Linked DNA regions of Oryzias latipes. The protein of the gene in region 1 interacts with the protein of each later gene in a pairwise test. Links are inferred from orthologs where the notes say so. Each region holds a gene or a part of one and is shown in the gene's direction. Other genes may lie near its edges. The genes, in order: zbtb8a, syntenin-1, znf276, bysl, kat5, rpl9 and rad23a.

Evidence for each region.
Region 2: the proteins of zbtb8a (region 1) and syntenin-1 interact in binary tests that used the Homo sapiens proteins (3 or more experiments, as listed by UniProt). The two-hybrid records come from large-scale screens. The link is inferred for Oryzias latipes from reciprocal best matches to the Homo sapiens genes ZBTB8A and SDCBP.
Region 3: the proteins of zbtb8a (region 1) and znf276 interact in binary tests that used the Homo sapiens proteins (3 or more experiments, as listed by UniProt). The two-hybrid records come from large-scale screens. The link is inferred for Oryzias latipes from reciprocal best matches to the Homo sapiens genes ZBTB8A and ZNF276.
Region 4: the proteins of zbtb8a (region 1) and bysl interact in binary tests that used the Homo sapiens proteins (3 or more experiments, as listed by UniProt). The two-hybrid records come from large-scale screens. The link is inferred for Oryzias latipes from reciprocal best matches to the Homo sapiens genes ZBTB8A and BYSL.
Region 5: the proteins of zbtb8a (region 1) and kat5 interact in binary tests that used the Homo sapiens proteins (3 or more experiments, as listed by UniProt). The link is inferred for Oryzias latipes from reciprocal best matches to the Homo sapiens genes ZBTB8A and KAT5.
Region 6: the proteins of zbtb8a (region 1) and rpl9 interact in binary tests that used the Homo sapiens proteins (3 or more experiments, as listed by UniProt). The two-hybrid records come from large-scale screens. The link is inferred for Oryzias latipes from reciprocal best matches to the Homo sapiens genes ZBTB8A and RPL9.
Region 7: the proteins of zbtb8a (region 1) and rad23a interact in binary tests that used the Homo sapiens proteins (3 or more experiments, as listed by UniProt). The two-hybrid records come from large-scale screens. The link is inferred for Oryzias latipes from reciprocal best matches to the Homo sapiens genes ZBTB8A and RAD23A.

The regions. Positions count from the first base shown.
Region 1 is NC_019880.2:16,761,545-16,765,653, forward strand, and holds the start of zbtb8a (zinc finger and BTB domain-containing protein 8A), read left to right. Parts: upstream 1-1,296; 5' UTR 1,297-1,429; coding exon 1,430-1,494; intron 1,495-1,509; exon of another isoform or gene 1,510-1,740; intron 1,741-4,109. Other genes in the region: gale (UDP-glucose 4-epimerase), read left to right, coding at 1-15, 663-727. UniProt on the Homo sapiens protein: May be involved in transcriptional regulation.
Region 2 is NC_019865.2:5,716,941-5,721,093, reverse strand, and holds the start of syntenin-1, read left to right. Parts: upstream 1-1,316; 5' UTR 1,317-1,484; intron 1,485-4,153. UniProt on the Homo sapiens protein: Multifunctional adapter protein involved in diverse array of functions including trafficking of transmembrane proteins, neuro and immunomodulation, exosome biogenesis, and tumorigenesis.
Region 3 is NC_019864.2:27,733,626-27,737,857, reverse strand, and holds the start of znf276 (zinc finger protein 276), read left to right. Parts: upstream 1-1,422; 5' UTR 1,423-1,554; intron 1,555-2,129; 5' UTR 2,130-2,185; coding exon 2,186-2,417; intron 2,418-3,285; coding exon 3,286-3,589; intron 3,590-3,678; coding exon 3,679-3,725; intron 3,726-3,805; coding exon 3,806-4,225; intron 4,226-4,232. UniProt on the Homo sapiens protein: May be involved in transcriptional regulation.
Region 4 is NC_019863.2:2,276,652-2,280,701, reverse strand, and holds the start of bysl (bystin), read left to right. Parts: upstream 1-1,218; 5' UTR 1,219-1,327; coding exon 1,328-1,592; intron 1,593-2,220; coding exon 2,221-2,377; intron 2,378-2,474; coding exon 2,475-2,613; intron 2,614-4,050. Other genes in the region: med20 (mediator of RNA polymerase II transcription subunit 20), read right to left, coding at 1-142, 690-835, 1,008-1,021. UniProt on the Homo sapiens protein: Required for processing of 20S pre-rRNA precursor and biogenesis of 40S ribosomal subunits. May be required for trophinin-dependent regulation of cell adhesion during implantation of human embryos.
Region 5 is NC_019872.2:15,162,036-15,166,012, reverse strand, and holds the start of kat5 (histone acetyltransferase KAT5), read left to right. Parts: upstream 1-1,171; 5' UTR 1,172-1,270; coding exon 1,271-1,291; intron 1,292-1,371; coding exon 1,372-1,438; intron 1,439-2,082; coding exon 2,083-2,151; intron 2,152-2,363; coding exon 2,364-2,515; intron 2,516-3,977. UniProt on the Homo sapiens protein: Catalytic subunit of the NuA4 histone acetyltransferase complex, a multiprotein complex involved in transcriptional activation of select genes principally by acetylation of nucleosomal histones H2A and H4.
Region 6 is NC_019859.2:13,029,343-13,033,540, reverse strand, and holds the start of rpl9 (60S ribosomal protein L9), read left to right. Parts: upstream 1-1,365; 5' UTR 1,366-1,380; coding exon 1,381-1,454; exon of another isoform or gene 1,455-1,514; intron 1,515-1,975; coding exon 1,976-2,022; intron 2,023-2,108; coding exon 2,109-2,224; intron 2,225-2,578; coding exon 2,579-2,674; intron 2,675-2,787; coding exon 2,788-2,920; intron 2,921-4,025; coding exon 4,026-4,106; intron 4,107-4,198. Other genes in the region: lias (lipoyl synthase, mitochondrial), read right to left, coding at 210-303, 533-708, 907-993.
Region 7 is NC_019866.2:22,942,503-22,946,652, reverse strand, and holds the start of rad23a (UV excision repair protein RAD23 homolog A), read left to right. Parts: upstream 1-1,333; 5' UTR 1,334-1,518; coding exon 1,519-1,584; intron 1,585-2,242; coding exon 2,243-2,404; intron 2,405-2,508; coding exon 2,509-2,705; intron 2,706-4,150. UniProt on the Homo sapiens protein: Multiubiquitin chain receptor involved in modulation of proteasomal degradation. Binds to 'Lys-48'-linked polyubiquitin chains in a length-dependent manner and with a lower affinity to 'Lys-63'-linked polyubiquitin chains.

The DNA.
Region 1 (4,109 bases):
ACATGGAGAGGATGTGTAAGCTCCACTTATTGACTCTAAATTAAAACTGGACGGAGTGTGACGTCACTCATAGAAAGTGACTTACTTCTGGCTCCAGTGAAAAAAGGTTGATTCAATTTTTCGTGACACGGACACTGGCACGTTGGAGCCAGATAACATCAGTAAGCAGTGATGGTCCGAGTCGATCTGAGTGATCATTTCTATGGCAAACCATTCTGGCCAATCAGGAGAAAGCTTGTTGAGAGGCCACACCCCTACCACTTGAAAGTGGGCTCGGGAGAATCTGTCAATCAAACGTTCAATCTGAGACCTCTGAGTCATCTGATTGCCCAGTTTAAAACTTAAATAACTACAGAAAAAATAGGATTAGCAAGAACATGTTAAAAAAAGGTTTTAGGGCAAAAATGGTTATTCTGCCAGATATAATGACTGAGTAATAGCTACTTTATTTTACTATAGAAGTCTATGGCTTCTTGGAGTCAGCAGGTACTTCCTGTTTAGAACCCAAGCAGGGATGGGTACCTCAGTCCAGTTCTCATATACAGTCAATGGCTCCATCACACCGTGCAGTCTGATAATCTGCAGAAAATACATTCAATTAGCTGCGATCATTTTTCAATAATCTGTGCCATCTTTATTTTTTCTTCCTCATTTGCATTCAGGTGCAGATCTGTGGCGCTGGCAGTCCATGAACCCCACTGGATTTTCCAAGAGCACCAGCTCTTGATGAATGCTGGGGGGTGTTATTGATTATTTTGTGTTAATCCACCAAAGCAGATACTATTTTTTTGTCATGTCATAAATGCAACATAAGGCCTCAAATTTGAATTTCTTTCTATTATTTTTGGAATTTGTAACTAAAATCTATTCAACAGATTTTTTGTCTTTATTTGGTTGTTTCTGAACAGCAGGGATTCTTTTCTTAACTTTATAATTATGGAAGCCATAAAAATGATGAATAAAATAATTTTCTAACAGTAAAATTGTGCTTTCTTTTGAAATGTATTAATTGGAAAAACCCCTAAGGACATATTCTTTAAGATTATTGGTGCTGTATTTTTTTATTTTTTGTGGGGTTTTTTTTTTTTCATACGGATGGAGAAAGAAATATGTTGTAATAAGAGGATACTGGAGGAAATCATGGTAAGGTGAGCATGAATTCCTGCGTGATCTCGAGTGGGTATGGTCGTTTTTAGGCTGAGGTACGTGCTGTTCCTGTAAAAAGGCACTGGGGCTTTAAATGGCTCCCTGAACCCTCGGGCACCCTGTTAATAAACACCCACGTCAGCACGGAGCTCCAGTCTCTCTGACCGGGTTTCGGTCTTTAGGGCTGAGCAGGAAGTGCCTGGCTGTGGACCCTGGACGGGGAGAAATAAAAAGCGGAGGGGGAGGGTCAGAAAAGGCACAAATAATCATTTAAATAAAAAAAATGGATATAGAGGTAGATGCAGGGGCAAGTAGAGTGTGCCGGGCGGCGGGTGAATCCAGTCACCAGTGAGTATCGATGCTTTTCTGACGGGGTATATATATCAGGGCGTCAGCGGGTCCTTGCCGACACCTCGCGCCTGCGAAGGCGTCGCTCGCTCCGGGCAGCAGGCGAAAGCTGCTCGCTGTGCTCCGGACCTCCGGAGAGGAGTGGGGGCGCCTCTCGCGGATGGAAACGGGCGTTTGTTTCATCAAACTGATTCGTGGTGTGGACATGTTTATCTGAGCTCGCGGCGTGCTTCGCCGCTGGAGGAGGTCGGTGTCTTTTCTTTTTTCTTTTTTTTCCATTGTGTGCTGGCTGGAGCCTGAAGTGGGCGTCGCTCCAGGACAGACGGGGCTGCTCCGGATCGCCGCTACCCGCTTTCCTCTCGTAGGACTGCAGCGTTCTCGTGTCCGTTTGGAGGTCGCGCGCGGCCGAACGAAGGGGAAATTGCTCGATTAACACACGAGACTCGGTTCTGAGTGTGATTTGAAGTACCGGAGTGTTTCAGGCGGGTGTTTCGCCGAGGGTTATCGGGCGCTGCGGAGCTTTTCGAGGCGTATCGCGATAATGAAGGACGCATTTAAATCCATCAAGTCAGTCCAGACAGGAAAAATGACTTGCTGGGTTTTTATAAAGTAGTCTGTCTTTCAAATATGAGCTTTAGGCAAATTATTAGTATGCCTTTCGTTGTTTTTTTTAATGGCTTCTATTAGCTGCAGAAATCTTTATTTATAACTGTACAGTATATTTGATTCATCATTCATTTAACCAACAGGGTTAAATAAAGGGTTTGTTACCCGCCCTTCCTGATAGAGTCGGGTGTAATCCATTATAAAGCATTTCCTGATTGATGGATCACCCAGCCAATCAGAGCGCAGAACGGTGGGCCGGTCTTCCTTCAACATGATCCACTGCACAAAGATGCTGCCAGAGTAGAACTTTAGGACATCTTATGCTTGTTTTTTAATAGCTACTTAATTACTGACATTTCTATGGAGCCCTGAACCCGCAAATTTATATTTTGTGCACAAATTTGAGGATCAGTTCCTTCTACTAATTTGTGGCCTACAAAAACAACATTCTGTGGGAAAAATACATGTGTGCACAAAATGCTAACAAAATATGGCTTTAAAATACAAATTTCTGTGCAATAAATACACATTTGTGCACACATTATGCCAATTAGTGTACACAAATTTGTGCACACTAATTTTTGGCCACTAGTTTTTCCTACAAAATTATAGTTAAATATTCATTTGTGGCCACGAAATAACGGAGCCTTGGAAATGACATTACAAAAATAAATAAATGGTTCCCTCACATGTATTTTTAGTTTTTTTTTGCACAAATTAGCATTTAGTGGCTACAGAATAGTATTTCATGGGGACAAATAAGAGTTTTAAGGGGGAAATTAGCATTTTGTGGCCAAATATTTGTATTTTGTGGCCACAAATTAGTAATGTAACTTGAAGATGCTAAAATACTATTTTATTTGCTAATATTAATTTTTGGCCATAAATTAGTATTTTCTACACACAAAGTAGCATTTTTTTTGGCCCACAAATTAGCATTTTGTGCGCACAAGTTAGAATTTTGAGGCAATGAATTTGTATTTTTTGGGCACAAGTTAGTATTGGAACTTGAAGATACTGAAATACTCATTTGTTTGTACTAAAATGTAAAAAAATAATAAAATGGTCATTTGTCTACACAAAATACTAATTCATGGTTACAATTTTTTAAATGAGTAAAAATTTTGTTTCATTTAGAGCTCTGTACATTTCCCCCGTGCCTTTTAAAATACTAAGTTGTGACTACAAAATGCTCATAAATTACTAATTTGTATCCACAAAATGCTAATTTGTGACCACAAAAGGCTTATTTGTGTGTACAAAATACTAATTTGTGGCCACAAATGATATATTTGCAAACATGGCGTAGTCTGAATATGCAGTCCTGGGGGGTATTCCAGAAAGCAGGTTATGCTAGCTCCCACGGTAAGTTTGAGGCTAAGGAAGTTGATAATCTGTTCCAGAAATGGAGGTATGTTTCAGGGTATGTCAAGTTGCCATGGCAACTCATGCTCATAACATAACCTGGGGCCTCATTTATAAAACTTTGCGTAGGATTTGCGTCAGAAGTGGCGTACAGATGAAACATAGGACGTGCGTACGCACAGAAATATTCAGATTTATAAAACCGTGCGCACGCACATCCTACGCATCTTTCCCTTAATAAATCACAATCAATTCTAAATGCAGCGCAGCTTTTGCGGCTTCATGACACGCCCATAGTTGCCCATAAATAGTCCGCGAAACGCCCACAAATGAATATTCATGGATTGCGAAATCATGGCAAACACAGAGAGGAAATGAAAAAAAACGTAACTTCACTCAATGTGAAGTAGAAGTTATCGTTGGTGAAGTGGAAAAGAGGAGGAAATGTTGTTTGGAGGGCACAGTGTGGGCATTACTAATGCCAAAAAGGCACTTGAGTGGCAAACGGTGGCAGACGCCAAATGCTGTAGCCTCACAACCTCGGACCGTGGCCGAAATAAAGAAGGAATGGTCGGACATCAAAGTCGAGGCATAAAAAACGTCTAGCGCTGCATCGCCAGAGTGTCTCTGCCACCGGGGGGGGG
Region 2 (4,153 bases), on another chromosome or scaffold:
TTTCTTTTTCAATTAGCAACATTATCCCTGTCAAGTGTTTTTGAGATTTCATGGAAGCAGCCAATTGGAAATGAACAGAAAAAGGTGAAATGATGATCCACAACAAAAAACATGGACCAGGTTCTATACAATGGGTTTTAAATAAAGTTTGATAATGCGGTAGGGTTCTCAGAAATGCAGGTATCTAACATAATATGAATGGTTATATAAGGTAAGAAGCTCCTCCATCCTTCAGTGGTCTGTATTGATGGCACGAGTTTAAATTGGTTACCTGTGTAAAAGACACGTCTCCGCGACCAATACCTAAGAGCTGTCTCAGGACACCAGAGGCAATATTGTTGTAAGTTTACCTATGATGAACATTACAGACCTCTCATCGTTTTAAGGGGGACAACTTGCAGGATTGATAAGTAACAAATACTTTTTTGCCCCACTGTATATGTGAAAAAGCAGAGCACAGGTCTTTGAAGACATTAATACGACCACAACCTTTGGAACATCAAAATGATGTTAATGTTGCTCACAAAAACAGAGTAAACATATTTTTTTTAAACAGTTATGTTTACTGATTATACATAAATGCAATAAAGACATTTTATTCCTACGTTTCAGACATAAATAATCTCTACAGTCACCCAAAGGGTGCAGAGGGGAGAGTTAAGGAGCTTAAAGTGTAGCTGACTGGAGCATACCAACTTTAACTGTGTAGTTTCATTAATAAGAAAGAACAATTATCAACTGGTTGACAAATGGATTTATCCGCCTAAAAAAAAAAAAAAGAATATTTATCCATGAGACCGTGTGCAAATCTGAGCTCCTATCAACTCATAAAAGGTGTTTTTTTTTTTTTTTTTACTAAGCCTGCATGAGGTGACAGTCGGAAGGAATGACTCATAAATAACCTCCAGCAAAATCAGACTATGTCATACAACTGTAATAAACAAACATCAACATCTGAGATAAAACCAGGAGAAATTTGATGTAAAAAATATTACTAATGTTGGTTTATAACAGTATAAAAATGTAAGAAAATGGAAAGAGAATAAAAAATGCTTCTAATGCCCTAGGTTATGGAGGATTTTGGAACATCTACAAACTTTTTCCAGAGACATTCTTGAAAAGCCTAACACTGAACAGTTACACACACGTCAAAGATCATTTGGGAATTTAATTTATCAGCTAAATTAACACAATTCTCTTCTAACATTAATTTATATAAGTATCACTTATTATGACCTTATATCACACAGAAGTTCAGTCACAAGACCTTCATAAAACCAGCCTGAGTCAGGGGTCATGTGACTGAAACTGGGCGTGTCTTATAACGTCAGCTGTGATTGACATGGTGCACAGGAGCAGGAAGCCAACAGTGACGTCACTTTCTAGAAGTCCCCTTAAGGTGTCTGCGACGAGAAGACCGAAGAGGCAGAAAATAACGGAGTGCTCATCTTTTTTTGGACTTTGAAACAAATTCACATCTACAGGTGAGCTATGTTTAATTTTTTTAAGTATCGCCGCGAGGCCATCTGTCGTACGTAGCTGTAACTGAGGTGAATTTCTGTTTTTACCTACATGCTAACGCCGTTAGCTAACCTCCCTCTAGCTGTTTATGCCGGAACAAAGACGCTTCTTTGAGCTCCTTCTTCTTCAAATTTTATTCTATTTTAATCCACGCGCTCGCTTCAGTCTCATGCTATTGTATTTATGAACGTGAAAAATATATGTTTTCTATATCAACAATGCTGCTTCTTATATGTGTGTACAGTTTCGGGTAACGTTCAGGAACATCTCGCGCGTCTCAAGTTAGCTTCGCCTCGAAACGAGAGTCTGTTTTAAAATATCATCATCACAAGAGTATAAAGAATTTGATTATTCTGCTGATTTATTTATAGTGTTGTGGGTTGTTAACTTATTTAAAAACCCACCCAAAGCGGCCTTTGTGGAGATTAGTGTCTGATCAACACAACTGTTCTCAGTTTTGAGCACGCGGGCCAATTAATTTGAATGCTTTTGCTTTAGTTTCCCCTTTTTCTTTCCTTGATTCCCGAAGACGTCAGCATTTTTTCCCCCTTTCCAGTCTTAATAAGTCATGTTTCTCGTTTCTTCCGGCTGTACCTTTATCAAAATAAATGGTGATCAGTGAAAATGTATTATTTTGATAGGATAAGAGTTTAAATTTAAAGCTTATATCATTTAAAATAGGAAAAATAATTATATCAGAGTGGCTAACTATAAAAAAAATGTATATCTCAAGTTTCCAATCAAAGTGGATCACTCAAAAAGTTTGGCTAATGGTTAATAAGAAAAAAAATAAGCTAATTGTTATAAGAACTGAGGCACAACACTGGTAAGAACAGGGATGAACTATCACTTATAAATTAAACCTTTTTAATTATTTAAGCCTGTCATTTTTGGTTATTTTAAGTGTGTGGTGAGTCCATCTTAAACCAAACCAAATATAATTCTTAGAAGTTAAGGGCTGCTTTAACATGTTTTCATTTGTTTGTTTTCCGTTCATGTTTTTAAAGGAATTTGTTAGTTTGACATTATATTTATAGACTCAAGTAGAAGTAAAGTTTATAAAAAAAAAAAAAAAAACAGTAAATGAATAATCTGCTAGATTTTCAGAATAAAGCAGAAGCTTTAGATCGAGTTCTGCTGAATGGGCTGCTCACACCAAAATATGTTGAATGGGAGCAAACACATGCCAGGCCTGGTGTGTCTGAGCCTTTGCACAAGCTTTCTTTGGCATTCCTCCTAATATAACACTACTTTGAGTTTCTTGACTTTTTTTTGCAAGCAAGTTAGATGAAACATTTGTTTTAAAAAAACTAACAGGAAACCAGTACACACATATTTAACAGTCTGAAACAAAAGAAAATTCTTTTGTCATGTTAACCTTCACTTGTTAATGTGACCTTCATATATATTTTCCGTCATCAGAAATCTTTACCTTAACAATCCATAAAAAAAACTTTTTTAACCTCCTTCAGAAAGGGTTCCTTCTTGTATATTTCAGTAAAATGATCTGCGCCTTGTTTTCCGTCGCAGTGGCAGACGTCTCAATGATCCTGTTATGTCATCTGAAGGGTTGCTCAAATGCTGCTGTTTTGTTTCCAGGCGTATTCATGTTCAGCCAGAGAGTCTGTATGAGAGAGGCATACAAAGCAAGCAAACACATAGCTGAAGAGTAAACAGTGGAAGGTTAACAAAAAGGCCTCTCTGTGTCCACACACACACAATGATGCACTTGTCCTGGAGGACTGAGATGAGCAGAATGGAGTGAGCCCTCAGTGATGTTAAAAAACCAACTGTTGCTTGATTTATGCTCTCTACATAAACTGGATTGTAGGACCTGTTTTTGTAGCTCTGATGTTTCTAATCTTCACACTTGAAGCAGCAGCTCTTCAAAGCTGACAGTCTGCCTCACAGAAGAGCTACTCTGATCTCAGAACCATACTTTACATCAGCCTCCTAATGCACATCGATATAATGATTGACTTAGTGCTGCACGGTGGCCTCTTTGGTCTTAACCGACATGTTAAAAGTCCTGCTCCAGCGTCTTTTCCTGTCTATGTGTCACATGATTTTTCCTGATTAGACCGCGCTGTTTCAGTGTCATTCTGTGTGTGAACTGGTGGATAGATTCTGATCAGTTGAGATTCCTTTGCGGATTTTGGAGGATTTGAAACGTTTTCACATAAAATAAAAAGGTTCCTAAAAAGCAGCATTAACTTGATCTAACAGCTGCACGTTTCTATCTAATAAGATCTGCTGACGCAAATGGTAATAAAAAGAGAATGCAAACTTCACCTGGCATTTCTCGTGATCTCACATTGTGTAAAACACATCCGCCTTTACTTTAACAGCACCTGTTTGGAGACACAAACGTCCCTATCATTTCCTACCATTGAGCTCCTGTCTGAAACGGGAAGCTATGCAGAAGAAGAGAACTAAGAGTCGGGCACTTGGATCGTAAACACATGCCATGTGAGATGACTATATCAGTAAATAGACTGTATACATGATGAATACTTTGGGTACAACGTGTTCTGTCTAAGCTAAATTTTTCTTGCCTTTTACTTAGTATTTTTGCATCTTCTGTCTTTTTTTTAATAAGAAAAACGTAATTAAGTCTTTCATAACAGCATTT
Region 3 (4,232 bases), on another chromosome or scaffold:
ACAGAGGTGTTTAAAATACAGGAATCCAACATTTCTGCTACATCACTTCCTAATCATCATTTGCCGCCACTGAATTTTGTCCAAAAGCTTTTGTCCTTTGACTTTGTCACCGACCAAGGGGATTGAAAGAGTCAGATAATATTTTAATATTCAGTGCCAACCAGAAGGGAAAGTTGAAAAACTCTGGGACTTTCAACGTGCTCTGTACCTGTGGGTGGCACCCTCTCATGGGGCTACAATTGTCTCTGATCCTGACAGGGTGTCAGTGGGACATCCAAGAGCAGGTTCTAGAACAGGTCTGGTCTATTGTTGTGTAACAAGCTGCATCACTTTTTGTTCTATAATTCAAGAGCAGCCTCCACAGGATACCACGGGGATGCGGTTGAATCCCTTCTCCAAATCCACGAAACACATATAGACTGGATGAGCGAACTCCCACAAACCCTCCAGCACCCTAAAGAGGGTGTAGAGCTGGTCCAGTATTGACAGCCTCACGCCAAAGTCATTGTCCTCTGCTTCCTCAAAAGAAAGCTTGTCAGTATGAAGATCCTCAAAGTATTCCTTCCACCGCCCCACAATGTCCCCAGTCGAAGTCAACAGCTCCCCACCTGCACTGAAAACGGTGCCTGCAGAGAACTGCTTTCCCCTTCGGAGGTGCCAGGCGGTTTGGCAGAATAATAAACCAAAATTAATAAACATAAAACAAGGATTTTAAAGTAGATTAAAAGAAAAGTAATAAAAGCAGGTTTTATTATTACTGTATTTAAAAAATTCACAAAAGTAGTTTTGTTTTACATTATAGTGTTGTGTGTTTACTGTTTTTAGTGTTAAAGCGCTTCGAGCTGCACAAAGTGCATGAGAAGCGCTATTTTATAAATAAAGTTTGATTTGATTTGATTTGATATAAACTGATTAAGGATTATCCTCCCACTCCTTTTCAAGTAATTCATTAAAGTGTTTTTCAAAAACTTCGCATTTAATATATCTTTTGTGTCATGTATCGTTTGTATAAGTACAAATATGTCTATTTATGATTTAAAGAAATTAAAATAGCATAATCTATATGTCTATGTGTGAAGTATACACATGGATAAGTATGTATTTTATTTTTTGTTTTCATTTAAATCCAGACTATTTTATTGTAACCCCTTTTTTTCTTTATTTTCATTTGTGTTTAAAATAAAGGAATTGAATTGAAAAGAAAAAAAAGTTCGATATATCAATGTATAGATTTATATCTCTTTTGTTTGTCCTCTTTCTTTAACAGATGAAATTAATTAATTCTAATTCCAAATGCCAAATTACTATTTGATAATTTGCTTTAAAAAAAGGCATTTATTCTGTAAAACGCATCAGGTTTAAGCATTGACCGTTCGGTTCGTTTGTCCACCTGCTCGTTAGGTGGCGCTGTTTGCTCCATGTTTCCGATTGTCCGTCTGGTTGCTCTTCCGGGGAACAATGTTTACAAACGAGCTGAGGCAGAATATGAGTATCTTATGAGACTGGATAAAACACGACATGCTGTTCGTGATATAGGATTTATGCACCTTTAAGGTAGGCTTCGCTTTTAGTTTGAATGCAGCTTCAGGAGTTTGTAGTTTTTCTGGAGTTAAAAAAACCTTCGGAGCAAGCTCAGTAAGAGTAAGAGGCTAACCGAGCTGGGCTAACGGGATGTTTTTGTATGCAATGCTAACTGTGTGTTCATGTCATCGACCCTTGTTGATGATTTTTTTTATTTTCTGTAAAAGAATAGCTTTACAGCATCGATTTATAGCATTTAATATAAGAAATAATAATTTGTGTTTAAAGGCTGTGAAAATAAAATATTTCCCAATGCTCAACGTGAATGTAAAACAAGTTAAGAACCATAGTATCATCATAGTGACGTGAGGTTTCTTTAGGGGTTGTGGGAGTAATTTATCATAAAAATTTTAAATGTAGTCATTTGAAATCTTAAAACATTAACCTTTAAGTTATAAAACCTTTCACTAAGTGTAATTATATTCATTTACTATAAAATAAAAAAAATATTAACAGATGCTGTAGTACTAGCAATCCTAATGAGCTAAGCCTTTTAATTTTATTTACATTTATTACATAACTATATGTGGCTTTCATTTGAACTCAAGCAGCAGATTTTCCATCATAAGAGCAGCTGCTGACAGTCCAGCCCTAAATAAAAGGCATGAAGAAGAAAAGCAGAAGCCCCAGATCGAAAGAGTCGCCATGGCTGCAGACGACGGGGGAAACAAACGAGAAGAAGAGGCCCACCGGCAGCAAAAGGAGACCCAGAAAAGGTCAAGCTGCCGCCGCAGACGGCTGTGACGGCGCAGAAACACATCAAACCGCCAGCACAAATTTCAGCGTGGCTGCTGACGAAGCACAGAAACATGCAGAGAGCATGTGCAGCTCTACAGGTGAGTCTCACAGAGGAGCTGGGGTTCACAGGTGCTGAAGATTTGCTCTTTCAGCTGGAAATGGCAGCCACTACTCGTGTGCCTCCTGTTGGCAGTTGTTGTTAATACTCATTTCTAAGTTTTAAAAAGATAGAATGTGGAAACTACGGTGGCCCTGAAGTGCAAATCAGATGAACAAATCTCCGAACGCAAAAACAAATCACGACAATTAAGAAATTAAAACAAAATTAAAGAAACCAAAACGTAAAAAAAGACCCCAAAAAAAATGTGGAAAATAAAAGTAATTTCCAGAAATCAAAAAGATGATAATGACCTTTGAGTTTGAAAAAAAAAAACTGTGTTAAAGAGTTGATTCACTTTTTCAGTGACTGTGGCCAGAAGTCTAAAGAAATCTCTTCTGTCTGAAGATATCATGACAAATAACTTCCTGTTGAAAAGGTGAACAAAGGTTATCATCCAATCAGTGATGTCATACCTGTATAATACCTACCTTTTCTGTTTTTTTTAGCCTTTTCTTTTTATTACTGGAAATTAGTTTCCCATGAACGTTTTTGTTTTCCTCATCTGAACTGGCATCTGGATCAAAGCTGTACAGCTGGATAGTTCCATTATTGATCGCCCTTTAATCTTAGGTTGGGGGTGTGAGGGGCTTTGGTGAGTGCGTGTCAACAGAGAGTAATGGGTGACGGGAAAGGGGGTGAGATTGCTCCTATTGAACTACTGCTGCTCTGCAGAAACGATGTCTTAGAAAAGGACACAGGTTATCTACAAAATATTTTCCAGGTGTAAGAAAAATCCCTTAAAGAACTTCAGGAGAATCTCAGTAATGCCGTTTAAAGCTGTAAATGTAATAGTTTTCTATCTACAGGCAGACTGTCTGCTGCCGTCTGTCGACTCTGCCATGGGAAGTTCTCCCCTCGCAGTCTGCGGAACGCCTTCAACAAGTTGCCTCAGGACTCCCCGGACACAGTTGGCGCTGCGACCCAGTCGCCCCTTCTGTTTCACTCAGACTTCCAGCGCTTGGTCGGGGTCCGCTTGGACCGGGACCCTCGGCTGTCGGAGTTTATCTGTAAAAAATGCCACGCCAAGTTCTACAAGTGCCACGGCATCCTGATCCGGTTCCTCCAGAGAGTAAACATCCCACCAGTTGGAAAGGAGAATCTAAAAATCCAGTGAGTCAGAACAAAAACCAAAGTTTAATGAGTCACTATTTAAACAAATCCAGAGCTATACACAAATATCTTTTTTGCATGTTATTCAGGAAGAATGCAAAGTGTCCAGAGTCAACAATGAACTACAGTTCCAAAAGTAAAGGAAAACATTTCTCTCTCTTCTTGGCTCTAACGGGTGAATTGTTCATTTACTCAAACTCATTTTCACTCTTTCAGCTCCATCTTCCTTCACCTCAGACCCAAAGTGCCTCCACAGCCTGGTGTCCTGGGCGCACCACCACGGGGAAGCCTGCCGCTTCTGCCCCGACCTGAAGGAGGTGCTGGAGGGCCAGTGTTGGGGCTCTGTTAAGGCTGTGTGGGGCTGCGTGGACGGTCACAGATACATCATGGACACTCGCTACACCCCTCCTCCATGCTTAAGCCGCGCAGAGAGCCTCAAAGGTGGAGATCTGGGGAGGGGCATCGGTGATGGAGAACTGTCGGGTGAGGAGCAGGATGACGAGGAGGAAAAACAACCTCCTGGGAATGGAAGGACGTCATTGGAAGATGTGAGCTCTCAGCGTCAGAGTGGTCTACCTGCAGCTGCAGTGCAGATGCAGAACTCTGCTCCGGATGAGTGGACTGGCAGCAGTGAAGGTGAGAC
Region 4 (4,050 bases), on another chromosome or scaffold:
TTCTGGAAATGACTTTTTAACTTGGACATGAGGACGTCAAAGTTAGCATCAGCTACTAAGTAGGGTCCTCCTTCGAATAGGGCCATGCAGCTCAGAGGGGTTTCAGAGTTATGCATCACGTATAAGAGCTTGGAGGGCTGACCTGTGACAGACGGGAAACACTGGATGATGCATTCAACTCAATAATACATAAACTCCACATCCATGATTCAAATAAAGGCACATCTGTTATTGATGTAAAAAAGGTTTTTAAAGTCTAAAACCTTAAACAATATTTGGTTTTATAGTAAGGCTTTGAGATGGTTTCTACCATAAAAGGCCAGAGCCATTAAAGTGCAGCTGAAGGGGTGATCTGTCGTCACACTCCAGTAGAACTAATAGGACCCTTATCTAATTTGTAAAATATTCTCAAGATAATTTGACAAACACACATAAGATAAAGTGGCTATGTATGCTTAATTGTGTCCCATATTTACTGCAGATGTGTCTGAAGGAAGAATTAGCAAAAGCCCTGAATGTTCTTGTTAAAAATGCTACCAATTAAATGCAAGGGCACAAACGGAGCTCATATGCCAATCACCTTTTTTTAATTGCTTTTTAAAGGTCTAAGCAACCACAACTAATTACCACATGAATAAATAACTACTAATATGTTTCCCGCGTGATGCTTGAAAAAGTAGCGAGCTTACCGACAACGTTTCCCGTGGCGTGGTATGTCTCACAATCCACGCAGAAGCTGCCTTGTTTCACAGAACCGAGCTGCTCCAGCTTTTTTTGCAGGACGTCCACGGTCTGCTGCACACTCTTGCCCTCCGCTATGGGCACCTGACAAACACTGAAAGACAAAACACCCGACTGAGCAGCGACAACCCAACGCATCCATGAAGGGGAGGAGCACGCTTTCCCCAAAAGAACAAACATTTGAAATAGACAGGTCCTATAAACATAGCGAAACCAAACTATGTTGAAATAATAATTACACTTTAATGAGCCAAAATATTCCTTACCAAGTTACTCCCATTTTTGTTTTGCCTCCTTCGCAACTACTTCCGGTTAAACAAATTGACTTCCGGTAAAGGAAAAAATAAAATAAAAATACAAGTGAACATAGACGAATTGAGTTAAACTGATTAACTCAGTTAATAAACATAGGTTCTTTCATATATAATGTTTCGAAACATTTTTAATGAAACCGGATGTGACGTAATGTATTTCCGCTGCCTCTGTCGCGCATGCCGTTTGTCCGCACGTGCTAAACAGCTGGGTGTTTACACACTAAAAAGGCATAGACAGGCTTTAGCTTGTAAATTTTTTTGGAGCTGTAGCGATGCCGAAAGTGAAGAAATCTAAAGGTGGAGGAGAAAAGAGCTCTGGATCCGTGGCGCTGGCTGACCAGATCCTGCAGACGGACACGGTCCGAGCCCGCAACCGGGTTAAGAGCAGAGACCAGCGGCCAGAAAGCGACGACACCTACGTAGACGAGCGGCTGTCGCGGAAAATCCTACAGCAAGCCCGAATTCAGCAAGAGGAGCTTCAGACCGAATATGGGCTGGTACCGGAGAAGAAGAAGGCGACACCGGTCACTGTTCTTGGTAATGTTGGATCAGAACCAGGACATCCGCTTCAGTTTAGAAAATGATCAAACAGAAGCCGTTGATTAAGGTTTCTAAAGGTTCTCTCTTGTTCTAGTTTTTCTTACCGAAGAAAACGATGACCAACTTTAGTAAAGTTGCATCACAGATTCATCACAATTCAGACCCATCTACCCTTAACAAAGACAAGTACACTTGAAGTTTACTTAAGGATACTTGAGTAATAAGTGTGTAGTAGTGTACAAGTATAGACCATGTACGTGTAGTGTAGGACATATAGTAACTGAATACTTTTTCAGACTTTTATTGGAAAATTTTAAATGTATATAAAAAGAAAATTCTAGTTTACTGCTTTACTTTTAGTATAGACAGTATACTTGTAGTTTACTTAAATAGACTACTTTTTGCTAAGGGATGCACTAATGCTATGACTTAAAAATAAAGTTAACTGTTCACTAATGATGGTTTTAGTAAACACTCCAAATTAAAATACTTTCAGTAAATAAATACTTAAAAATAGAAGTAATAATGTTTTCATTTACTCGTTTCTGTAGTTAGTTGGGTGATTCCATACATCTAGATCTGCATCTTTTCATTATGTGAGTTCTAAACACTCCTGTAACTGTAGGTCCTGAATCTGGGGATGCAGACTCGGATGAAGAGTGGCCCGCACTGGGAGAAGCAGTTTCTGGGGCGGCAGAAACCGAATGTGATGCTGAAATTATTGTAGACCCAGAAGACGAAAAGGCCATTGAGATGTTCATGAATAAAAACCCACCAATGAGGCAAGAAACATGGCAGTTCTGACTAACCAACAACAACAAACAGAAACCACCAGGCCAGTTTCTTCTGTCCCTACTAACATGTTTCTCTTTCTCGTAGGAGGACCCTGGCAGACATAATCATGGAGAAAATCACTGAGAAGCAGACCGAAGTGGGGACGGTGATGTCGGAGGTGTCAGGGCGCCCCATGCCTCAGCTGGACCCCAGAATTACAGAGGTTTATAGAGGTGTGGGAAAGGTGAGCTTTCTTATATTATTGAAGACATAAGCCGCGGTTACATGCGCAAAATATCTGGATCGGATTAAAATCCAACCGTGTACATGGGATCAGAAAACCTTTTTCCGATTAGAACAAACGTTCACATGGGTCACACTTTCGGTTGGAATAAATCATTTGAGCATGAGCAGTAGTGTTGAAAATACCGAAAGAGGAAATGGGTCCCACAGTAAACAAACCGAGCTGCCACATACATTCATGCAGCAGCTCGGTAATATACAAGACGATCTTCTAAACGTGCTTTTATCAATGTTATGAATATTATGAAGCGCCTGTTCGCTCATCATTTTAATTTTAATCCGTGTGGTCAGTGCTTTTTTTTGTGGAAGAACCCTGGAGAGGCTAACACACGCGCTAACAACATTAGCCTTTTTTGATGAACACAAACACTCCCCTCAAACACAAAGTTATGAATCCGGCTGCTCTGCTCAGAGACACAGTTCGCTCCGTCCACCGGCACCCGAGCCCGGACCACGCAGGGTCCAGACGTCACGGGGCACGAAGCGCTCCCCCTCGCAGCCCCCTCGTGAGGGGTGTAAGAGAGGGGAGAGGTGAAGAGCCAGCAGGGCGAGAGCAGAGCGGCGGTTCTCACCGGTCCTCCGCAGAGCAGCCGGTTGGTCCTGTTTGCGCTCCAAAGCTTTCTCTGGAGCGATACACCGTCTATGCGTGACGTTAAACCAGAGCAGTAGTGACACGATCGGAATGAACTGTTTACATGTAACACGATTGGATCAACAATCGGCATAACCCACCTATCTCGATCGGAAAGACATTTTGATCCAAACGAGTCTGATCAGGGCAGAGTATTCTGAACGGTGTGTTTACATGACACATTTTCCTTCCGATTCAGGTGTTCTTTCCAATTACTTTTGCCCATGTAAACACAGCTACTATAACACGGTGTTGTACAGTCTGATGGCTGTGGGGAGGAATGACCTGCGGTAGCGCTCCTTCTTACACTGAGGGTGCAACAGTCTGATGCTGAAGGAGCTGGTCAGCGCTTCTACAGTTTGGTGCAGGGGGTGGGAGGGGTTATCCATGATGGATGTTAGCTTAGCTTAACAAACACAGCCCACAATGGCACTGTCCTCTGAGAACTTCTGCAGGTGACAGTGGTGGGAGTTGTAGGTGAAGTCCGATGTGTACAGGGTGAACAGGTGTGGGGAGAGCACAGTCCCTTGAGGTGCCCCCGTGCTGCAGACCACCACATCAGACACACAGCCTCACAAACTGTGGTCTGTTTGTGAGGTAGTTGATGGTCCAAGCAACCAGATGTTGGTCCACACCTGCAACCTCCAGCTTCCTCCTCAGCAGTGATGGCTGGATGGTGTTGAAAGCACTGGAGAAATCAAAAAAACATGACTCTCACAGGGCTCCCAGGGGACTCCAGGTGAGAGG
Region 5 (3,977 bases), on another chromosome or scaffold:
TACTCCTCTGCACCTACAAGCCCGACAAAGTGCCCATCAAACTATCTTCATTTCATAAACAGATGTTACTTGCTTGGTCCATGATTTATAAACATAATTTTTCTCCTCACAGGTTTTACATTTGACACAATAGATATATTCTTTACAAAAACAAAACTATCTTTATCCAACAGTGGTTTGATAATAATATCAGACTAGTTAGTCAATTATTCAATCAACAAGGTCAACTTTACACTTACACCGAATTCCTTCAGTTCTACCAGATCCCTGTTTCTATGAAGGACTTTTCGGTTGTTTTTGATGCCGTTTCCCTCAACCTCACCTATCTTTATAAAGGAACTCCTACTCCATCTGCTCCCCAACCACAGCTTCATGTGACAGACACTGCTGTCGGAAAACTCTGCTTCTCTGCTTTGAGAAATCAAAACAAAACCATCCGAAGACTGTTCCAGCAGGAGCTCAAAACTGAATCCCCGGCCATAACTTTCTGGACTTCACTTCATGGTCAAATGTGTTGGGAAAAGGTTTGGCTTCTGCCAAACAAATATCTTCTAAACAACAAAGTGAAAGAGGTTTCATTCAAGATCATTCATAGGTTTTATCCAACAAATCAGTATATGCAAAGGCTAAAAAGGGATATTGATAAAAACTGTTTTTTCTGTTCTCAGTCTGAGGAAACGTTGGTGCATATTTTTTGGACCTGCAAGTACACTGAAAAAATATGGGACAAAATGACAAATTTGATAAAAACTCAAATTTATCCACATTTTAATTTAACCTGGAAAAACATCTTATTTGGTTACATTAATTATGATAAGACATTTTTATCTCAATTTTATTTAATAAATCTTCTAATTTTATTAACCAAGTATTATATTCACAAATCTAAATTCAGCAATAAAGCTCCTAATTTTCTTGATTTACTAGCCCAAGTTAGATGTTACTTACATTCCATTTCCCCCAGTACAAACAAAAAAGCTATTAAAACGTATCACCTTGCTCAGCTGTATAATTTAGTGTAAGTTTATTTTTTTGCTTGCATATCCCCTGGCGTTTATTTTGAACATTTGATGTACAGCTTATTGTTCCTTGTTCTTTTGCTGTATGTCACTTTTGTTCTGCATCAATAAAAAAAAAAAAAAAAAAATTTCCGGGTTGGCTCCATAACTTCCGCTTAGCGACGCATGCTCAGTCTCACTGCGTTTTACGTCTTTGATGTGGACCGGCATTTTCCCACAACACACTGCAGCAGCTTACACCAACGACGAAAATGGCGGACAACTGTTCTTCGGTAGGTTATGGAAACGTATATTATTGTTTTTAAAAATAACAGCTACTATTGGATACTAACATCTGCTGTTTTATCAACAGGTCGAAATTGTGGAAGGCTGTCGCCTCCCCGTTCTTCGTAAAAACCAGGAACATGAGGATGAGTGGCGTAAGTACTTTTCGTTCGTGCTTAGAGCTAAGCTAATGCTAACTAACAAACAAATATGACGGCCTTCAAAAAAACCTTAAAAACAAATTCAGATAAAATGCAGTGACTGCTATGGTAGAAACTGTTCGTTTAGGTCTAAATTGCTTTGTTACTTCTTTATTTGTGTTTTTGGGCTGGAAATCATTTAGTCGCAATGTTTAAACACTAGAAATTTAGATAAGTCTGAATTACATTTTGCTTTTCAAAAGCCCTACATTTTAAATTACGAATTTAAAAAAAGGTTGAGTTTCATACGCAAGGATTGTATAAATTGTGATAATTCACTGCTGTCCAGTACAGTTCATCATGTAGACATGAGAGCTGAAGTTAAAGATGACAATGTTTTTTCTTAAAAGAGCATAAGTTCATCTAGTTTGTTGAATTCCTGAGGTAGTTCCAAGCTATTTAAATCAAAGTACTAGCTTTGTTACACATCATCAGTGTGATTAAAGTAAGCAATACCCATTTTTATCTTGGCGCTAAAAAGCAAAACCACTCTTGCACTAATTATAACTGTGAATGTTCATTTTCCACTTGAATTAAGATAAAATAGCTGTGTGTTTACTTTGTAAATAGTATTTATAATTTCTTTTCTACTTGTGCAGCTTTGGCTGAGATCCTGAGTTTGAAGGAGGTTTCTGGAAGAAAGCTGTTCTATGTTCACTACATTGACTGTGAGTAAAGCAAAGTTCATCTTTCCTGTTTCACTATCATTAAAGAAAGCTTAGACTTTTCATTCATGTCATTGTTTCAGAAAAAACAAAAGTGATTCCAAACACATAAAGAACGTTCTAGTTTCGGTCGTGTTTCATATGGACGGAAAAAAATAATCTTTTCATAACAGTTGGTCTTTTAGTTGGTAATGTAAAATTGTGTGTGTCTGCAGTCAACAAGCGCTTGGATGAATGGGTCACAGCAGACAGGCTGGACATGAAGAAGCTCCAGTTTCCCAAAAAAGAAGCAAAAACACCCACAAAGAATGGACTGTCAGGCTCGCGTCCTAGCTCACCAGAAAGAGCAGAAAGAGAAGTAGTACCAGTAAGTTTACCCTTGAAGATTCATAATAAAGCATTAGTAAACTACATTTAAATGTTTACGGCAGTTCCCCAACAGTACTGTTGGAAAACAGTTGGTTGTGAAAGACTATTTTCATTGACTGCTTAGTTTCCATCTTATTGAAGTTGAGTTTTTTTTTGATAAAAAATTGAATCTACAGGTTTTTTTTCCAGTCACAAAAACAAAACATACTTGCATACTTGCCAGGCTTGTTTTTAGGACCTTTTTTTTTTTTATCATAATCTGTTTCTGTTTTATGAGTGTTGTCAAGCACTACATATATATAGTGTATATATATAGTTATATATAGTTGGAAAGTTTTGTCTGTATGCTGTTAAGTCTGGTTTTCTTTTGAAAATGTGTCTTTGCTCACTATTTCAAGGGCCACACACAATCACAACAAAAGCATGAACGGCAAAAGCATGAATGGCATCTCTGGGTTTTTTGTAAGTCAGTTGGTAAAGCAGCTTCTGCAGTCTCCTGCTCATTCTGTCTGATGAAAAACAGACAGACCAGGTTTATGTCGACACTCAGCAATGTCGGTCATCTGCAACATATTTGGGTTAGGTGTTTTGCAGACAAAATCCTTCTTGAACAGCATGCATTGACAATAGTTGCTGCCCTGTTTCTCTTCTAAATGACACAGGCTATAAACTTAAGTAGATTAGAATTCTTCCTTTAGCTTCAAAGCAGAGAAACAAAATGGTTAAAAATCAAATTCAACAAAGCAAATGTTCAAGATTTATTTGATGCTTTACTCAAGATGCCTCTGATACAAATATAACTAAAATTGGAATAAAATGATATTGTTGAATCAATTGTTACTTAAAAAAATGAATAGTTCTCATAATTAAATGGATAAATAACGCCCCGTAGAGTTGATATTGACTCTCTCCTTAAAACTCAACCCTCACACTTTATTTGAGCTGTGGACTCTCTTTAAAGTTTGAAATTTTGCCAGTTAAAGTTTAATGTTATTATAATTTCAGGGGGGGGTTGTCTCTAAATTACCTAAATCACTGCGCTGTCTGCTTTCTCTTCAAACTGTGCTCTGTGAGGTGACTGCATAACAGTGAGGATTCATGTTTCAGTCCATGTTTCAGACTTATTTTCTAGAACCAAAGTATGGTGGCACCGGAGAGCTATCCCTAAAACTGAGACTCAGTTTGGTCAAAGTTGTCTGTCTGAGAGCACAAGGAGTAGCAAACAGATGTTGGGGCTGACGGGGCAAAATGCAACAGCACAGCACTCTGCAATATTCATGTTAATTACTATAATATTTTATAATTTATTCATGTAAATGCTGTGCCTAAAAAAGAACATATTTTAATATTCTTTACTGTTTTATTTCCTGAATAAGTTATTAAACTGCTGAAGCAGTGTGTGGAAAAACTTGGTAAGACCATAACTTTCTAGAAATGAGAAGAATCTTTAAGTAGCAGCC
Region 6 (4,198 bases), on another chromosome or scaffold:
GGGAAGGGAATCGTTGCATCCCTCATGTCGCCCCCCCAAAAGAAGATCAACTAAAAAAACTACAAATGATGATCAACTAAAAGCCTAAAATTCTCAAAGAAAAACTCAATTATCATCCGTATTTGATGGTCAAATTTCATGTTGAGATCTGGTAAACAGAGGTTTTAGACACTTCCAGCATATGAACAATCTATAACCATAACACATACTGTGTGCAGGTTGAGATCTCTCAGGGTGTTCTTCAGCTGGTTGTAGTTTTTTCCAATGGGGATCTCCGTCTTCAGCCACGGGGGAAGCCTCAGCCTGAAAGGAATCAGAGAAAGTTTGTTTTTTTAAATACAGAAACAGCAACAAGTTGTGAAATAACAGGCTATGTAGAAAAGATAAGAGTATGCAAACAAAGAATGTATGTCTTCACTTTAGATGACTAAAAACTAGGCTCATTTATTTATAAAACTCCACATTAAGAAAATTTCAACACACTATCTGCAGTCAAATTTGAAAGCCCTGTTTTGTCTAAGAGTTATGTTACCTCTCTCCCTTCTGCCTCTTCAGATGTCCTTTATAATCTGCCCACTTGGATTTCTCCGCCAGATCTCCTGAAATGAAGTCCTGGAGATCAGGACCATCGTCGCTCTGAAGCGCCTTCTTCCGGTCAACCGGCTCTAAGGGGGATCTGGCTGTGGTTGCCAGACTGTTTGTAGAAATCTGCAGGAAAAAAAAGAAACAAAAAGCACACATTGTTTCGCTGTGTTTTTTTTTTTTTTTTTTTTTTTTTTTTTTTTTTTTTACAAACACGTTATTGCCCTTGAGAGTTAACATACAACAAACTAGTAAGTTTCAAAACCACAAAGATTTGTGATTAAAAACGTGATAGGGATGCGAACAGTCATGAGAAATACTCACATGTGGAATGGATCTACTAGGACTCAACCATATGTGATTTGTGGAGAAGCGGCCTGCAATACAGCAACTTTGTTTAAGTAACGCCATGACTTTGTTTAGCTAGCATACAACTGTCGTAAGCAACACAGATCGGTAATCGACTACCATGTCTGGTGCTGCATTCGCGTGATTGGTTTCACTCGGAAAACTAAGTTTTTCCGGCACACATTGAGAATATTGACTTCAAGTTCAATTATTTTTATTAAATGAAATTTTAGCTTTTGCTAGTGGTTATTTTTTATATCAAAATGTAAATATGAGATTGCGTTCTATAATTTTAGATTGTCTGAGCGTATCTAAATAAAATAATATAAAGCGATGACTTAATACAAACGTCAAATGTAACCATATTTTACAATCTAAACCACGTTGTTTTCGTTTGGCCTTCATATGGATGTAAAATTCTATTTTGATCAATCTGTTGATCGATACGTAATGTCTGGGGACGTGCGTGCGCTACAATTACGTCGTGACGTCCATCCGGCTTCCTTTCCTCTGCTACCGGCGAGGTGAGGATGTCTAGAATTTGTCGCCAGAGTGTAATCTAACTTCATCTTCGTTGATTAAAAGTTGGTTTCGAAAATTTTTTAAGTATAAAGTCGCTTAAAATACTGATTTTCATAATATCACAGGAATTTTCACTCCATTGCAAGCGTAAAGAAAGATATGCACACATCTTTTTTTTAGCAGACTGACTCTAAGGCCTAGCCCCGAATTGGTACTAACGGCTAAACAACGGTGGACACAGTAGTGTTTGACTATTTAGCGCATGCGGGTCACCAAGTTTCTGGGCATGAGAAAATACTTACACCGGAGTTTCCATTTAAAAGTCGTTTATGTCCCTGTACTGTAGCCCGTTAGCTTTATTATAGCTAGCATATGTCAACGTAGTGCGGCTACATTGATTGACCTAAGCACAGCTGAGTTGTACTGTACCAACAGTACACACTAGTTCAGACAAACATTTGAATAGAAACCACCAGCCTTTACTTTAAAGCTAATCATTGAAACTATTTTTGGTTTTCGTCAGAATGAAGACCATTCTCAGCAGCCAGACTGTGGACCTCCCTGACAATGGTGAGAAACTTGACCCACCTGGAGTTTGTGATCATCATCCGGGCGGGGGAGTCTGGTTGTTGACTGTTCCTTTCTGCGTTTTGCAGTCGAGGTGAGGCTAAAGGGGCGCACTGTGATTGTGAAGGGGCCCCGTGGCAAGCTCACCAGGGAGTTCAACCACATCAATCTGGATCTCAGCCTACTCGGCAAAAAACAGAAGAAGGTAAGAAATGGGTTAGAACTCACCGAGTAGAAATGGAAACCGCTGTTGTTTACATCAGGCCTGGAAACAAAAACGACAAAATGTGTACATTTGAAACATTAATAAACCTGATCAAATTACAACAAATACAAGAAAATTGGGCAATTGATTAATCATTGTTTTAAGGTAAATTCCACCATGTGTTGCTTACATGAAATATGGTAGAATTGTTTAATTGTGCGCTGTTTTTTCTCTTTTAAAGTGAAATATTTTACATGATCTCAGTTGTCGATAGTCGATCTTTTCTTTCAAGATAAAGTCTTGGATGTAATCTGGAAGTGATTTCAAACAAACAAAGCTTGTTTTCATCCTCAGCTTCGTGTGGATAAATGGTGGGGAAACAGGAAGGAGCTGGCCACAGTCCGTACTATCTGCAGCCATGTTCAGAACATGATCAAAGGCGTCACTTTGGTGAGGCGTCTTTCCAGCAGAGCACAGCCTGGTCTTTGGGAAAGACCTGATTGACTTTTGTTTGGTGGTTACCCTGCTTTCGTCTAAAACAGTTTTATTTTGTTTGAATGCAGGGTTTCCGGTATAAAATGCGTTCTGTGTACGCCCATTTCCCCATCAACGTGGTCATTCAGGAAAATGGACAGCTGGTGGAGATCAGGAACTTCCTGGGAGAGAAGTACATCCGCCGGGTCAGAATGAGGGCTGGTGAGTCTGGAATATTGTTCAGTTGGCAAAGAGCATAAAAAGACGCATGCATTAGTATTTCCTTAACCTTGTTATGTTTACTTTCTTCTGTCTTGAATGTAAGTTTGTATGTTATGATTGGGAAATAACTGCCATAACTCAAAGCACATTTGGTAGACTTATTTTCAGTTTTTCGTTTTTTATTAATAATTTTTATTTATTTACTTTTACCTTTTATATCTGTGTGAGATGGATCATTATTTGGTATATTTTAGGGGAACATTAAAATGTTGCCTTTATGCTGCCCTCTTTAGTCATGAAACTTGCTTTAGGACATCCTTTTCAGTCTTGAGCTGGAGTTGGATATCGTTTATTTCAAGTAATCAAAACAAATTCAAACTTAAGATACATGAACAAATAGCAAAACAACCGAAAACATAATTTCCTCTTTACTACAACAATTTCATTTCAATAAGAGTCAACATTACTTAAATCACCCTCCAAATGACCCTCGTCTACATAGGAAGTGAGCATCTAACAGAAGAGCTCCATCTGATTGGTCAACAACGTGAAGCCGTCCATCTGATTGGTCAAATGCAGAAATTGATTTATTTGATACGTTAAATACTTCAAGCTGCCATAGGAGTGTTTTAGCACATTCAAGGTAGCCATTTATTGCAATTTTCGCTGCAGCTTGATATTGTGATAAAGATAAATTTGCGATTTACTGTGAAGACCAATTATATATATAGAGAGAGAGAGAAAGATATGAAACTTGGGATAATTAGTTATAAAATGATTAGAAGATGTATATACATATGCATACATCCATATGCAAATAATTCAATTATAATGAATAAATCATAAATTGACCTATTGGCTCGTAAGCTTTACAAAGGTAAACTACTCGTGGAGGTTTTGCTTTGTGCTTCATCTGTGAATCACTATAAAGTCACACAAAGGTTGTTCAGAGCAAAGCTGTTGCTGGAATCCCGTTTTTCATTGACTTATGTCACTTTTACCTGCAGAAGTAGATTTCTCTGAGGTTACGGTGACGCGTTGAGATTTCTTGGTTTTTCATATCAGTGTGTCACGGTGTCTTCAAACTACTATGTTCTTCTTCCAGGTGTGATGTGTGCAGTGTCTGCTGCCCAGAAGGATGAACTCGTCCTGGAGGGTAATGACATTGAGTTGGTTTCAAACTCTGGTACGTTTCTTTTGGTTTTTTAAACTCTTTCTTTAGCAGTTTATCATATGGCTTGGTTCTATCTTGTCTTCATTTCAATCGGAGAAGAATTG
Region 7 (4,150 bases), on another chromosome or scaffold:
ATTTGACACACAAATCATGTTCAAAGTGCTCAATTCTGTCTTTTAAAATCACTTCCTAAACTCTTTTATGCAGCAGATACCCAAAGAATCCCTTTCTCCTAGGTTTTCATTGACACACGTTGACACCAAAGTCCTTTCGTTTGAACCAGTTTGTGTTGGTCGTGTGATAGTGGCATTAAAGTCTGCTGTGCAGAAAAAAGGCCCTCCAGGTGTGAATGCAGATATCCACTGTGCCTGAATCAGGAGGAAATAAACAAAGAGTGAGTTAATATTATACCCAATGATGAATAAAAGAAGTTTACAGCACGATGAAGTTTATGGTTATGTGGCTCCTTCTAATGCAAAGTTTAAGTAAATGCGTGTTTTGGGCGTCTCGCATCACGCATAGCTATAGGTTTTTGTGTTCAAAACTTGCGACCATTGACTGTGTGTGATGAAAGGTTAACCAGGTCAAACTTTGACCAATCAGGGACTCGGATTTGGTAGTGATTTGGCGTTGTAAACGTCGCTTCAGACTCAAAGACCCACCCCAATGAAAGTGGGGTTTTTAAATTGTTCTTGTGGCATTTTTCGGACAATGGAGAACACATATAAAGAAAATTCAGCTTCAAATTGGGGGGGATCCCGAGCACAGCTGTGTCACCGCTCCCCCAGGGGATGGGTCAGAACATGATGTGTATAAAAGTTTTGTGAATCTGGAACAGACAAAAAAAATGCCATCTTAGAAAGCTTGTAGCTGTGACACGGATACTTGTGACCTAGAAAATACACTGGGCGGGGCCACAAACTCACTGCTTTGCTGCATTTTGATGCATCCGCCTGTAGACCAGATCCATGTAGGCTACATCTTTGTTTTACTCGTCCGAGCTGGCGTCTGGCTCAAAGCCGGTCAGCACCAATATTTGTTGCACTGATAATGTTAGGTTGTGTGGGGCTGTAAGCTAGCAGGAGAGCATGTAAACAGAAGGGTGATGGGAAGGGGGGCCTGGGTAGCTCCGCACCAGAAGTGTTTCCTACAAACTTAGAGGTGAATTTTTAATGAACTGCTGCTGCTTTGCAGGAACTACGTCCACGAAATCAACACAGGTTTTTGAATTTTTTTGTCTAAAAACAGCATAATCGTCACTAAAAGACCACCAGGAACGCTTTGAAAATAGATCAAAAGATGATCAAAGTGGGACTTTGAGTCTCACAGGCACTTAACATGATCAGAATGTATTTCTATATAGTTAAAAAGTTATAAGTCTTGTGATTTCTGTGCGCGTGTGTTTGTCTTGCTTGTTTTCTAAAGCTTTTGTGCTGCTGGCCCTCTCGTGGTTTCTCGCGATATCTCACAGCCTCCAAGCAGGAGTGCCCGTAACTTGTCACCAAAGATGGCGATTTGCTGAGTGCTCATGGATACACACATTTCTCGGCTAGTTGTTATCTTACTCAAAACGCGAACCTGAGACACAGACTGACTTTTTTTTCCTTTAGTGCGCCGCTCTTTTTCCAGTTTGAAGCACACCGGACGCCGCCATGCAGATCACTCTGAAAACGCTGCAGCAGCAGACGATTCAGATTGAAATAGACCCCGAACAAACGGTAAGTGGCTAACAGCTAACTGCGTTAGCTTCCAGCACCGGAGTTGTCTTTTAGCTCCGCGTGCACACCCGACAGCTCCATAGAGCAGGTACAGTGAAAGGAACTAACTTTTATCACATCGAATTAATTTCTGAATTGTGTGAACATTTAAGCCACACAAAAAATGCTTAAAATTAAGAACACACCTGTTCCTTTACGCGCTGAAGCTACCTCGCTAAGCTAGGTTTCAAGCTAATGTTGCTAAAATTAACAGAGTCATTGGGCCGCCACCTGAAAGCTGGTTGTCACTAGTTGAAGTTGCTGACAGAGGATTGTTGCGGCCTTTTTGGCTGTGAATATATGAGGTAAAACCACCAACATGTGTGAATCAGAGACGCTCAGTCAGTGCGCTGGTGGTGACGAAGGATGATGCGCGTGCTCTAAATGCTCATCATGACACTGCCAATCACGCCTAGCTCCTGATAGATAGCCCAGCTCTGGAAGCCTAGATGGATTGGGTTAACTTCTACTGTTTAGATGTCTAACAAAAGTAAAATACACGCTGGTGCTCCAGATTTGGCCTTTTTCGCATGGAGGCGGCTGGGGTGTGGCTTTCAGGTGTTGAGGATAGGCTGCCTCCGGGTAGTCCGACCATCATGTCTGCCCTCTTGTGTGTCAGGTCAAGGCCTTGAAGGAGAAGATAGAGGCTGAACGAGGAAAAGACAACTTTCCTGTTTCTGGGCAGAAGCTGATATACGCCGGGAAAATCTTGCAAGACGATACGCCAATCAAAGACTACAAAATCGATGAGAAGAATTTTGTTGTAGTGATGGTATCCAAGGTGAGACTGCATGGTCCAGCTTTTTATCTTTTTTTATGTGTGCAGCGGACTCGCGTCTGGATGCAGTTCCTCTGACGTTTTCATTTGTTTTCTGAACACGTTAGGCTAAGCCTGCAGCCACGACCTCGGCACCAGCCCCGGAAGCCCCCAAGCCCCCCGCACAGGACTCTGGCTCCACATCAACCGCTGCCCCGCCTTCAAATCCTCCTGCTGCACCCACCCCTGCAGCTGTCCCTATTCCTCCTGAGGAGGCCAAACAGGAGCAAAGTGCCGAAGCCACAGAACCACAGCAGCCCGCCAGGTAACAGGCGTACCGCCACGCTCGCCGGTGTCAGCTGGTAGAAAAGGGAGACGAAATGGGGAAAGAAGTCACTTAAATCTGAGCGGGTTTGTACGATGACTTAGCATTTAATTCAGCAGAATGCAGTGAGTTCGGCTGTTGTTTTCTTTATAAACAAAACAAAAACAAACATCATTTTGTTGTTTTGCGGGATTCAGACACTGACGTCTCCATCATAGTTACAATGACTTTGCAAATCATTTACAAGATTTTCATAATATCCTTAACTTTTGTATCACATTTTTTACTTAAATCGACAATTAGATTTAAAGGAAGTGACTATTTCACCGTAATTAGGGCAGGGCTTATGGTTACAGGTAAGGTTAGGGTTCAAATACGTGCAGCAATGTGTATTTGGGCCACATGGTTTTCGTGTGATCCACATGTTTTTCCATCAGTTTTTGTGCTGGTTGCACGTAAACGCCTGCGAATAACATCGACCATATTTAAAACAATTACCGTAATTTCCGAACTATAAGCCGCTACTTTTTTCCTGCGCTTACAGCCGTGCGGCTTATTCAGTGACGAGGCTAATTTATGGTTTTATTTGGCGGCCGCCATGTACGTACTTTCGGACACAGTGAATGGTTAGAATTCTCTATCTAACACCAAGGGCAAGTCATTTGTTTTTCAATACACGTCTAGGCAGCCAAACAGCATGGACCTAACTTCAGGTCTTAGACACTTCAGTCATGGTTCCACAAACGAAACACGCATGCCCAGCCGCATCCCAGAATCCTTTGGTGCCATTAGACCCAACGTGCACGTGATCGCCACTGCAATATGATGAAGCTTTCAAGTTAAAAGCAATCGTTAGAAGCAGCGTGAAAAAATCCACCATCACACTTACTCTGGGAGGCAGGACGTGATTTGTCAGGATGACAATGTTGCCTAATACATGCGGCTTGTACTCCGACGCGGCTTGTGTATGTAGAAAAGTAGTTAAACACGTGAAAATGGGTGGGTGCGGCTTGTAATTGGGTGCGCTTTGTAGTCCGGAATTTACGGTACTTTTCCGGAACTTATTTCAGTGAAATGAACATCTGTCCAATTTTTTAATCTACATAAAAACACTTTTACTGTATAGATTTATTTACTTCGGGGGACAGAAGCGCTTAAAGTTCGTTTAGTTTCTAAACGTAAAATCCAACATTATTCAGTAAATTTAGAGGGATGTCCTGATCGGGGTTATTTTTTCCAGTCCAATGCGAAACGACTCAGTCGGCCTGATTTCTGCTCACGTGATCAGATCTGGACATCACTAATAACTTCTCTGCTGTTAAACAGGGGCCTCCAAAGTTTTCAGAGTAGGAGGCTTCTAGGAGGGAAAGCAGGAGGCTACCACCCGGGCGGTGAAAGCAGGAGGGGTTGATTGAGTGGAGGCTAAACTAGCTTTTATTTTGAAA